Caenorhabditis elegans: one gene and its partner. The protein of the gene in region 2 purifies or fractionates together with the protein of the main gene of each other region. This does not show direct contact. Each region holds a gene or a part of one and is shown on either strand. Other genes may lie near its edges.

Evidence for each region.
Region 1: the proteins of plg-1 (region 2) and tag-278 fractionate together in Caenorhabditis elegans (co-fractionation; one large-scale study listed by BioGRID). This does not show direct contact.

The regions. Positions count from the first base shown.
Region 1 is NC_003284.9:3,683,343-3,691,278, reverse strand, and holds tag-278 (Putative protein tag-278), read left to right. Parts: upstream 1-2,073; 5' UTR 2,074-2,134; coding exon 2,135-2,158; intron 2,159-2,635; coding exon 2,636-2,742; intron 2,743-2,818; coding exon 2,819-3,138; intron 3,139-3,184; coding exon 3,185-3,299; intron 3,300-3,345; coding exon 3,346-3,594; intron 3,595-3,644; coding exon 3,645-3,851; intron 3,852-3,902; coding exon 3,903-4,171; intron 4,172-4,250; coding exon 4,251-4,432; intron 4,433-4,481; coding exon 4,482-4,878; intron 4,879-4,923; coding exon 4,924-5,072; intron 5,073-5,113; coding exon 5,114-5,460; intron 5,461-5,505; coding exon 5,506-5,607; intron 5,608-5,666; coding exon 5,667-5,865; intron 5,866-5,925; coding exon 5,926-6,351; intron 6,352-6,394; coding exon 6,395-6,549; intron 6,550-6,619; coding exon 6,620-6,742; intron 6,743-6,793; coding exon 6,794-6,914; 3' UTR 6,915-7,067; downstream 7,068-7,936. Other genes in the region: C02F12.8 (uncharacterized protein), read left to right, coding at 1-72, 121-428, 474-733, 788-949; tsp-17 (Tetraspanin-17), read right to left, coding at 7,265-7,339, 7,525-7,608.
Region 2 is NC_003281.10:8,850,175-8,854,047, forward strand, and holds plg-1 (copulatory PLuG formation), read left to right. Parts: upstream 1-2,086; 5' UTR 2,087-2,089; coding exon 2,090-2,165; intron 2,166-2,208; coding exon 2,209-2,247; intron 2,248-2,296; coding exon 2,297-2,532; 3' UTR 2,533-2,832; downstream 2,833-3,873. Other genes in the region: F44E2.9 (uncharacterized protein), read right to left, coding at 1-144, 200-357.

The sequences.
Region 1 (7,936 bases), on a different chromosome or scaffold from region 2:
AATCATTAAGTATCTGGATACGTCGGATGACGTTTTGGAATCATGGCAGGAGGCGACGGGCAGGAAGAAATGGTGATTTTTTGATATTACTGCTAAAATGATAAATTCTGTAATTTTCAGTTTTGTACCACAGAAAACACAAAAACTCGTCTACCCGCTGCCATTGTCAAAAGTCGAAAAACCATTGCAAAAATGTCAGCAGACTTTGGCCGCTTCCACCATTGACGAGGATAGCAAAGAAGCATCAACTATTGCTCTACCCGACGCCAGGAAAAAGTTGACAAAAAAAGAAAAGCGCCTTATGGCTGCACAGAAGGCAAATCAATTGGAAACTGATGACGATGTACTGGAAGCAGCATATCGAGAAAGACAGAAGCATGTGGAGCAAGCTGGTGGTGACTACTCAAGCTCAGGACAGAAAGACCAAAGTGAGATTCATCATCGCCATTTGGTACTAATATTTTCAATTTCAGAAAAGAAGCGAGGAAAAAGACCCGTCTCGAATCCACCGCCATCGTTGATCAGTCCCCAAATCCTGCATGCAGTTCAAATGGCAATTGCTAACAGAGCAAAGAAGATTTCAGAATCGGGTCGTCCAATTTTTCACGAAAATTTCTCATATCAAAAATTCTATGAAACGGTGGATACTTTTGTGAAAACTTGGGAAGAAAATTCGAATGAAATGAACAAAGTGTTACAGTTTATTGAAAAACGCATTTTGGCATTCAAAATGGTGAGTTTTAATGAATTTTGGTACTTTTAAGTGTCTCAAACTGACTATTTACAGGTTCAACGTCCGCAAAGTCTCTCGCGTATTACAATCTACGAGCAACTTCAGCTGAACTTGCCGCCAGCTATTCTTCCGGAACTATGCTTTTTGGCCGGTCTCACCAGCGATTCTACTGACAAATTAGAGTATTACGAAGAAATTTTCTTCAACCTTTTCTAGATTCCGTTATTGTTTGTACACATTGTACCCAGTGATCAGATGTTTTAACTGTGATTAACCATGACCATTCAGTTGTATTTTTCAGTCCATTTAATTACGTGTCATTGTCTTCAATTTTAATTTATTGACTTTATGGGTAAATCAATTTATGTATTGAGATTTTTAGAATAAAAATGTCTAGTCTTGTATTTCTTCATCTTTTCAGAGGCTCTAACCAGTTTCAAACTTCTACCAATTTTAAATTCAAGTTTAGAAAGGGTTGAATAACTCAAGAGACGCGTTTTTGACTTCACAAACAAATTAGGCAAACTGGACAGACGGACATTATTATTTTGTTGATTATTTATTATTACCTCAAACATTTAATTCCCAAAATCAAAATCAAAATCAAAAAATCAAAAGAGATCGTGCTTAAGTGAAACTAGATGAAGAAGTTAAATATAGCTATTTTTGTCTACGAAATATTTTTGAAATTGAAACATTTTATCCAATCTGTATGTTTTGAAATTAGGCTGACGAAATCTTTTGAAAAAAAAAAACGCTATCGAAGAGGATACAACTTTTGCTCATTTTTTCCTTATGGCTTACAACAAATTGAAAAATTAAAGCAATAAATCTAAATTGATAGCCCCCTTAATCTATTTTTCAATCAATCCGTACACATTTCGGCAGCGTTATGCTCACCGTCATCACATTCATCGGGTCTTGTCAACGTATCCTATGTGCACTGCTGTGTGCGTACTCATTATCTGATATAGCAGTCTCGATGTTTCTCCCCCTCCCGGGTGAGTGGCACAACGTCCATTCGTATATCCACCGCCGGTGTTGAGTAGTATCATGTCGACTACAAGGCGCAACAGTTGGCTCTTCTATCCGGATCTCTTAGTCTCTTCTCTTGAACAGTTGCTCGTTCGGAAGTGTCCAGTCACTTCTACATCTCTCTTTCTGAATCACTCCTTGTCTATTATATCGAGAACCTCTAGGCTTCTATACCTTTTGTTTTACTGAATTTGTATTTTCTGATAAAGGAATCCCTAATTTATTTTTATATAACTGTTCTCTTATTTATTTTTTCGTTTACTTTTTCTAGTTCTAGACATAAAACTTAATTCAACTATTTTCAGCGCCACGTCATCACTTAACCACAGATAATCAGTCTAAAGAGGGCTGTCAAAGCCCTTTTCAATGTCAGAGCGCTTACGAGAAAGAGTGAGTAAATTCAATTTGATTAGGCTTTCAAACTAAGCCAATCTGTGTGCTTTAAAAATGCTACTGCATTGTAAGCCTAAAGGTTTGCCTTTATTTATATGCACAGCTATCCAAGTTTCGCTAAGAAAAATTCGAAATATTTCTCAAATTAAAAGTTATAGTTGTTCGAAGTTTTGGAGAAAAGGCGCAGTTTCAGCTGAAATTTTAATCTTTCTTAACTTGAAAATATGGTGCATAATTCGATGAATCAACGCGTAAAAATACAAAAATGTGGTACAAAAAGTCGTAATTATATAACAATAAGATTATGTCCGCTTCGATACCGATAAGTGTGTAAAACCTGAGAAAATAGGTATTTTTTCCAACAATTTTTTAGAATTTTTCAGAACGGATTTTTACTCAACCTTTAAGTCTAACTGATGGTTTCTCAGCAACATCAACTGTTTTTCTTGAACTTTTAGTAGTAACCTGTTTCAGCTTGGTATATTATCCGAAGAGTTTGATGGAAGTCTCCGATCCGCATCTCCATCAGGAAGTCGATCACCTAGAAGAATGAGCAGATCTCCAAGGCCCCATGGAACTCAGTGAGTTTCATTTTCCTTTTCGTTTGCGAAATGTGATACTTGATACCTCCTTACCCTTAACGTTTTCTTTTTCCAGTGAACCAGCCGTAGGTGTGACTCGACCTTTCGTAAGACAATCCCATCCTGAAATCGCTGCTTGGCCTGCACCTCCACCGGCGCATCAACTAGGTTGCCTCTCTGGAAATGTTCGAACACCAGTCGGAGGACCAGCTCCCCCGTCACCAGTTTTGCGGAGGGCACCAAGTGGCCCGATTTCACCATCTCCAATATCTCCAGTTAGCCAACATTCACGAGCAAGTTCTAGGCATGACATTGATAACACTTCATTGCTATCAATTTTGAAATTGTCACATGTTGCAAGAGAATCATCGAGAAATACTTCTAGAAATAATTCACGTACGTGTAAAATATTGAAAAGTTGGAAACAATTAAATTATTCTAGCTCAGCCAGCTGGACGAGAAACCGAATTGAAAAGGAAAATTCAAACACTGGAAGAAACTGTGGCAGAGTATGAAAGGCAAAAATACAACGTCATGGGCACATTCAGTGAATACAGGTTTGTAAAGTGCATACAATTTTGAAATAATGTTAGTTATTTTCAGAGAACGAGTTGCTGAAAGGGAGCGAAAGTTAGAAGCTGAGTACTCTGGTAAAATAATCGCCCTTTCTGAAGAAGTGCTAGGTGCCAAAAAGGACTTTGAAGCAAGAATGAAAAGTTTCCAAGCTCTCCAAGATAAATTCGAAAGGGAGAAAGAGCAGGCTCTGGAAAAGCTCCGCAAGGAACATCAGAAGGAAATTCAAGTGTTAGAACAACGATTTTCAGATACACAATTGCTCAACCTAGAACAAAAGTGAAAACATTTTTCTGAATTTTTTTTTCATTAACTGAATTATTTTGCAGATATATAATTGAAATTCAAAGGTTGGAAGAAGAACGGAAGTCTTTGCGAACTGAAAAAGAAAGACTCGGTGAAACTTTTGAAATGAAGCTTCGAAGAGCTCAATCTTTGTATGAAACTGAACTAACTGCTGCAAAAATGCTCTATACTAAGGAACTGGAAGCCTTGAGAGATCACGAAGAAGCACTGAAAGAGGAGCTTCTTGCTAGGTACCCGAATTCAAAATTTCACAGTTTCTTTCACAATATTTTTTATTTCAGACAAGATGAGTTTCACGATCGGCTTCAAGAGTTGCAGTTGCAATCAAAAAGAAGTCGCGAAGATTTGGTGTCTTGCAAAAACGACGTTACTGCTCTGGAAAAGAAACTCCACAATAAAGAAAAAGAAGTTCAAACTTTGACAAAAGAACTGGATCAAGTGAAAACAGAAACGAATGATAAGATCCGACGGTTGACTGAGGTAACTTCCGAGTTCGCAGAATATCGCAAGAAGTTCCAGCAACAGGAAGAAGAGTTGAGAAGGAAAGCAAGTGAGGCCTTGTTCCAGTTTTCATATTAGAATATCTTCATATTTATGTTTAAAAAATTATGAAAAATTTGAAATTTTAGGATTACTGACCGTCGTTGAAGCGGCAAAAGAAAAACTGGAATCTGTAATTTCCGATCTGCAAGTTGAAGTGAAAGCTTTGAAAAATAAAGTAGAGTTTTTGGAGAAGGAACGTGAGAACCTGCAAAGTCAAAGTGAAAGTCAGACCCAACTCCAATCTTCTCAAGTTGATGCTCTCGAAGCGGTATACTACCCAACCTATACCCACTTATGACCATATTCTCATCTTTTAGGTATTACACAGCGTCACAAAAGAAAAGGAGACAACAAAAGAACACTACGAGGGTCTTCTGCTCAAAGAACGCCAACAAGCTGAAAGCAGGGAGCATGCGATGAAAAAAGAATTTAGTTGCAAACTGAATGAGCTTGAAGAACAGTATACCAGTCTGAAAGAGGAGCTCGAAGAATCGGCACGTCTTGACAAGGATGAGCTTAGAGAGGCATCTGAGATTGAGATTCAAGCTCTGAGAACTGAAAAGAGCATTCTTGCTGCAGAAATCAGAGTTTTAACTCAGAAAATTGAAGATGAAGAGCAGGATGATATCACCGAGCAGCTCGCGAAAATTGTCGAGGATACTTCTCAATTGACTAGAACTCTTGAAGAATACAGGGAAAGAATCACAGGAAAAGGTTATTGATAGTTAAAAATTTTCATCATTAAAAGCTCATTTTCAGATGCTGAGATATTGAACCTTCGTAAGCAACTTGAGAAAGAAATTTCTCACACCGAAGATAGGAACCGATTATTACACGAAAACACTCAGAAGGAGTTGGAAGCGCACAAAGAAACTCACACCGAAACTGTGCGAGTCCTTGAGGCTGAGGTGAGGTGGATTTGAATTCGCGTTGAAAATTGAATTTTCAGATTGATCAATTTAAAAGTGCATTTGAAAATGAACAAGAATATGGAAAAGAAAAGTCTGCAAAGATTAGAGAGCTGGAAGCACAAAATAAGACATTACTCTCTGAAATGGAAAAGGTGAAACACGTTGCTGAAAATTTGGAGGCTTTTACTTCTGATAAGGACAATCTTCTCGAGGAGCTTGAATCCAAAAACAAAAACATTGAACATTTGAAGCAAGAAATTGCTCAGCTCAACGAGAAGATTTCTACGAAAGAAACCGAGAAAGACAGCGAACTTGAAAAAACGATTGCACAGCTCGAAATTGATAATAGCTCGAAATCTGATCAAATCGAAAAGCTTCATTTAAGGTAGCACATTTTATTATCCTAAATGTTTAGATAATTTTTTTACAGAGTCAATGACATGCTCGACCAAATGGGTACGATTAAAGATGAGCTTGTAAAGAAAAATGAGGAGATTAAAACGATCAGTGCTAAAACTGCTCAACTATTAGAGTAAGTCAATTTTCACTCTTCGCTTTGTAATTCGCTACTACACAAAAATATAAATTCAGATCAAACACCGTAGAGTCTGAGACAAAGCTTGCCAGTGTCACTGAAGAACGAGAAAAAGAGATCCAGAGTTTCCAAACTCAAATTTCTGAGAAAGATAATGAAGTTTTGACGAAAGCTGAACGAATTAACGAATTGGAGACTTGTCTGAAAGAACGAGAAGTCGAGTTGACAGGCATGCGTACAAAACTCGATGATATGGTATAGTTCACTTTTCTAGTCAAATCTTAAATTTTAAATCTCAAATAATTTTTATTGCAGACTCAACAACTGAATGAGGAAACTACTGTTGTACTTTTTGACAACTCTATTCAAGAAAAAATCGACGAAAAGGAGGCGACCATCAACGAAATGAACGAGAGATTGAAATCGAGAGAAAACGAAATTGCAAAACTCCACGAAGAAATGTACATGCAAAAAACTCAAAATGAGAAGCGAAACGAAGAGCAAAGCAAGCTTTTTCAAGAATTAATGTTTGAGAAGGAGCAGTTGGAAGCCGAAAAAGCAGAGCAATCACACATTGAAGCAGAAGTCGAACAAGTTTTCCAAGCCGATAAGGAATCCAAATGGAAAGAGCAAATTGAGGATTTGGAAAATGCACTTCAACGAAAAAACGAGCTGATCCAACAATTGCAAGACCGTCAGACTGATGAATCAACCTCTGAGCCCCATACCAAAAAACGAATGGTAACTTAAGAAAAGACTTTTTTGGAAAATTGTCGAATTACAGAGTATCACTTCCCATGGTGTCTTTCAAAATTTTGTGAGTCAGATGAAAGATAAAAGAGAAGAGGCTAGTGAAAAAAGAACAAGAAAAGAAGCGGAGAAAAAGGCTGAAAAGGAGAAAGAGAAAGCTGAAAAGGCAGCCAAAGAAGCTGCAAAAGAGTGAGTACAGAAACCAAAATACAGGTTGTATTGAATAAACTTTATAATATTGAATAAACTTTAATAATAGGTTGGCCCGTGAAAAGTCGCCCGCTCGTGCCAAGTCCCCTTCAATTCTGACAAGATTACGAGATCGTAGTCCAGCGAAATCGAAGTCGGACAACCTCGAATCGACTCCATCTTCTTCTAGCAGGTTCTTATTATTTAATTCAAACACTATTTGACAATCAATTGTTACTTTCAGAAATCTACTTTCTCCATTTGACGCAGAAAAACGCATGGAGCGAAGCTCACCATCGCAACAATTGTTCAGCCGAACTAAGAAAGATTCGTCCTCCGAAAAGCGACCGGCGTGGAAATTTTAATCACTAATATATGTTCTCAGTCCTTTTTAATTTGTCATTCGAACATTTTAATTACCTGTATATTTCTTGCGCTCTACAGATCATGGCATAATATCTTCACTTTTTGTAGAGCTGTGACGTTGGTCAGTGCTTGCAATGAATGATTTATTAATTGATTAATAACTTCAGATTTTAAATATAAAATGGTTCCACAGGAAGAATAAAACTAAAAATTGACAAAGTTTAGGCAAGATGGTGAAGATATTAAAAATATTCAAAGAATGAAAGAAGTTTGAGGAATAATCAATGTAGAATGCGTAGTAATAAGTGTACCCTGTTTGATATGAAAATTTAATTCACCGTAGAGTGATTTAGTAGTCATCTCGAATTACATGGTAAATGCGAATTTTCGAGATGAGACAACATGAGAGGCAAATTCCAAGCATCTGAAAATAAATATTTAAAACAGTTTTTTTTTTGGATATTGGGATGTATTTCTCGGAAAGGTATGAATTTTTTAATTTGTTTTTTTGGCTATCATTTTACAATTTATACATGTAAGAACTTCTATATCTAGTGAAACATGTGATTTTTTTTCAAATGCCGAAACAAATGTCTGACCCTCCCTTACCATGGTCAGTGCAGAACCGAATCCAAATCCTACGAATATCCAAATTTGCTCGTTGAACCACGACATTAGTCTTTCACTACACCCCTGAAAACTCATTTCTTTAGAAATAAATTAAAAACTTTAATATTAGCACAACAATCACACCAGCAAGAAAACATAATACACACTCACAACAGTGTTTACAGATGTGTCAAATGCCGTGGTAAGGTAGCGATATGTTGTGCACATCGGGTCAATGGGAACCGGTGCCCATGCTCTTCCAACTTGAGCTTGCTTGCAACAACTTGGCGGGACAAACGATCGAGTTCCACGCAACGTGTTAGTAATGTACCAGAACGAATCCTTGTAGTCCAGGGGACCTTCTCCCCCGCAACATTGGTGCTAAATCTCTTTCATTTCACAAAAATTGAAG
Region 2 (3,873 bases):
TCTTCACGTCGAATCGATCTCAGTTTATTCTCAAAGTCCATCTCAAAATCCACAAGATTTCCAGATTTGCAGAAGAGATCAAAATCCGGAGAGATCAGCCTTTTCAAGTCATAAACAATATCGGGAGTGGGAAACGCGAATTCTCTACAAGAAATGCGAAAATTAAATTCCTTTTTTCGGTAGACTAGAAATTACTTACAAAACTAAAACTGCTAGTCCAATTTGCCACAATATATTTGCTCCGGAAACTTTGACGAAATCAAAAAAAGCCTCTTTTTTGTTTTTGAACACTATTCGCTCCCGATTTGGCAAGAATTTCCAGTTTTTGCTGAGTAATCGACGAGTTATTGAGAACATTCTACAAAGAATCGAATAAAGGTGATTTCAAAATGTTTCTCAAAGATAAACAACGTATTATGCCAAGAAAATTATACAGAGAGCATTTTACGGATTATTAAGTTTAGTACCAAAAATTAAGAGTACTCTTATTAATTTTTCAAGTTAATTTAAATTCTAAATCATTATAATAAGGAAATAAAATCGATAAAAACTTTAAAATTTGTAGAAAACAGAATATATGTAAAATTAGAGCCATTATGCTGCGATAGAACAGAGATTGTAGAGAGTGTGCACGCAAAGAGACACAGAGATAGATGCAAGTGTTCGGCCGTCGTGGAAATTCTAGGCCACGGATAACTATTTTGGCGGAAATTTAAAAACGAGTTCCTCTTTTCCTAGATTTATGCTTGTTTCTCGGAATTTAGGGGAAAATATAATTACTTAACATTGTACCTGTGTTCTACAATCAAACTGAAACAAGAATGAGAAACAAGTCAATCCCATTCTCCGGCAAGTTCCACATATAGAAAATAGTTTTATCTTAAATACTTCATTTTACAGACTGCTCTGTGCAGTTTAAATTATGGAACTTCAAAAACCTTTTTTTTCTACATGAAATGAATAATTATGTCGAACTTGAAGCTTGTACCTATCAGTAATGGGGTTATTCAAGTAGTGTCGGAAAATTAAAAAGTGTAGAAAAATTACGTCACAACCTTATTCAAGTATATAAAAACATGTATTTAAATACATTTGTGACGTCACAAATGTATTTAAATACATTTTGCTACATTACTTGAATAACCCCATAACTAAGATCGTGACGAGACCCACTCAGACAATCAGCGTATGCCTTTAAACTAACATATACACAAGTTTCATGAATTTATGATATTTTTAAAAAATCAAACACGCGACTAAAAATTGAGGACCCATGCGATGGACGGGCCCGAACTTATCAGAAGTTAAAAAAAAAACAACAACATAATAGACTTTTCTATCGGTCGAAATCGCCTAAAGAAGGAGTGATATTTTCTATGACTCTCATTATCAGTTTCAAAGTTAACAGTTAGAATATTAAAAAAAACGGAGGATTTCAGAAAAGTGAGAGACATGGTTTGATACTGTTCAAAATCTGAAAAAAAGTTACTTCAAAGCTGTAATCATATGTTTCTCTGTGGGGATTCAATTTTATAACTAATTACAACTACATACAAATATTATTAAAAATTGCCAGTTTTGCTCTTCAAAACCGGAAATTCCTTTAATTGGATTTCCAAGGCGCAATTATTATCTTTTTCTACCATTTTTTGATTTTCCTTTGTGTTTGGCTTCTCATATATATATATATATATATATATTTTCCATATTCATATTTTTATTAAGTTTTCCGAAATTTTAAATTTTGTCCCTTCTGAGATATTCCTGAATAACTTTTACATTTCTTAGCCGCTTTCAATAATAGCTTTCTGAAAAAAACACAACTTGGAGACTGCACAGATTTTTTTCAAACTTGTTTCACAGAATCGAGAATTTGCAGTGAAAAAGAAAAGAAAGAAGCTTCTGTAAACCGAAAAATGGTTTGCAATTTTTATATCCCCCGCATAAAACGTCAGCAGAAGCGCAAGTTGCAACTATAAAAACGGAACAGCCTTAAAAACGGAGGTATCGGAGCAGAGAGCGTGTCGACATTTCTTTTCTTTTCAAAAACAGTTTTTCAAAAGATTACCTATTTTGTTTTTCTTATAGGATGAAGCTGCTAATCGGCATCCTCCTACTTTTTGCGCTGGTAATTCATCATGATGTTCTAGCCATAACTCGGCCAGGTAATTTAGTTTTATCGAAACCTTTTCATTAATTTTTTTGCAGATCGCCATCGTCATAGAAAGACACATGATTATCCAAAAGGTTGGTAAAACCTATTCAAATAATGAATCTTCAATAATTAGTTTTTGAGGACATAATCGAACAAAACACAATTCCACAAAACCTGCTGACTGTGTTCACAATTGCAATCATTACCCGGGATTCCCACCGACACCGCCTGGCGTTGACTTGGGATGCCATAATTCAACGACGACTATGTCGGGTTTAACCCGTTTTTCTCTTAATTCTCTCCGATTAGCTCAAAGGGTAATTCCAGACCTCAAATCTTTATTTAAAAATATCTTTTGCGCAAGCAAAGATGACTGACGCACTCTCACGCTGGCGCACTTCTCGATTCTGGCGCGAAATCAGTTTTTGTCATCTTTTTTCGAGGATTCTTCCTCATTCTTGGATTTTGCTCGGACACAGCGTGTTGACTCGTTGTTAGAGCTCCAGTTTCAGTGGTTTTGGCCTGTTGTTGGCTTATTTTTATAGTCTTTTATTGTTTTTCTTGGATTTCTGGCGCTCTGCCTGTTTCTTTGAAGGTTTCTGGTTTAGTGTTGATTCTTCTCCAGTTCCTTGGTTTTTGTATACTTTTCCTCTTTCTCTCAATAAATTTATTTGAGAGTTCTTAAAAATCGTGTTTTTCTCTTTCTTTTGGTCTCGTTTACTGGATTGGATTCAAGTTCTGTGGACAGGAACTTGACTTGGGGGCCGAACCGCCGTTGGTTTCCGTGGAATTCTCGTTTTTCGTTGCGAAAATCGAGTGGATTTTGAAGAATTTGGATCGTCTCGAGGATTTTTCTTTTTGTTAGCTTGCTCTGTACGAGTAGTTGATAAAGAGAAAACAAAAAAGCGATTTTTCTGGAGCTGAACGCTCAGGAAGTTCTGATTTTTTCCAGAATTCTGTTTCTGTCTCTGTAAGAGCGGGGATAGTGATTTCTGCCGAATTTTTTTGAATAAAAGTTCTGGAATTTCGAAGATTGTAAAATTCCTAGTGAATTTTATCGATTTTTTGAGTTGAAAGCTTGATTTTTTCAAGTTTTTGCTGAGAAATTCAATTTCTCATCAAGAAATTGGTGAATTTTGCTGATTTTTGCATCGAAAGTGCGAAATTTTGCGGAAAAGTTAAAGTTTTCGTGAAATTTTGAGATTTTCGAAAACAATCTTTGATTTTTCGGTGATTTTATTCGATTATTTTGGTTAGAAATAGGAAAATCGCTCGCCGATTTTTCATTTTTCTGGAAAAAGTCGTGAATTTCCGCAATTGGAAAAAATCGATAATTGGATTTCACTGGATTATTCGCCTTTGAGTTTGCAATCGTTTCGTGGGATTTTTCACATTTCTTGTTGATGTACTCTCAAGTTTTTGCTCATTTCTTCATTTAATTGCTGTAATCTAAACGAATTTATTTTTGTTTCAGTGAAATCTGAAGAATGGAGGTGAACGAGGGACAGGATACTGAAGGAGGATCATCGAGAGCACAAACTCTCACACCACCACCAAATCCACAGCAACAACTGTATGATGAAGAGGATTTGCTGCGGGAGTCGATGGATACCACGGAGAAGACATTCGAAAATGGTTTCCAGGTGAGAAAAGCGGAACATGAAGTAAAAAAGAAGGATGTGATTAAACATATTCAAAATTATGCAAAGGCAAATGAA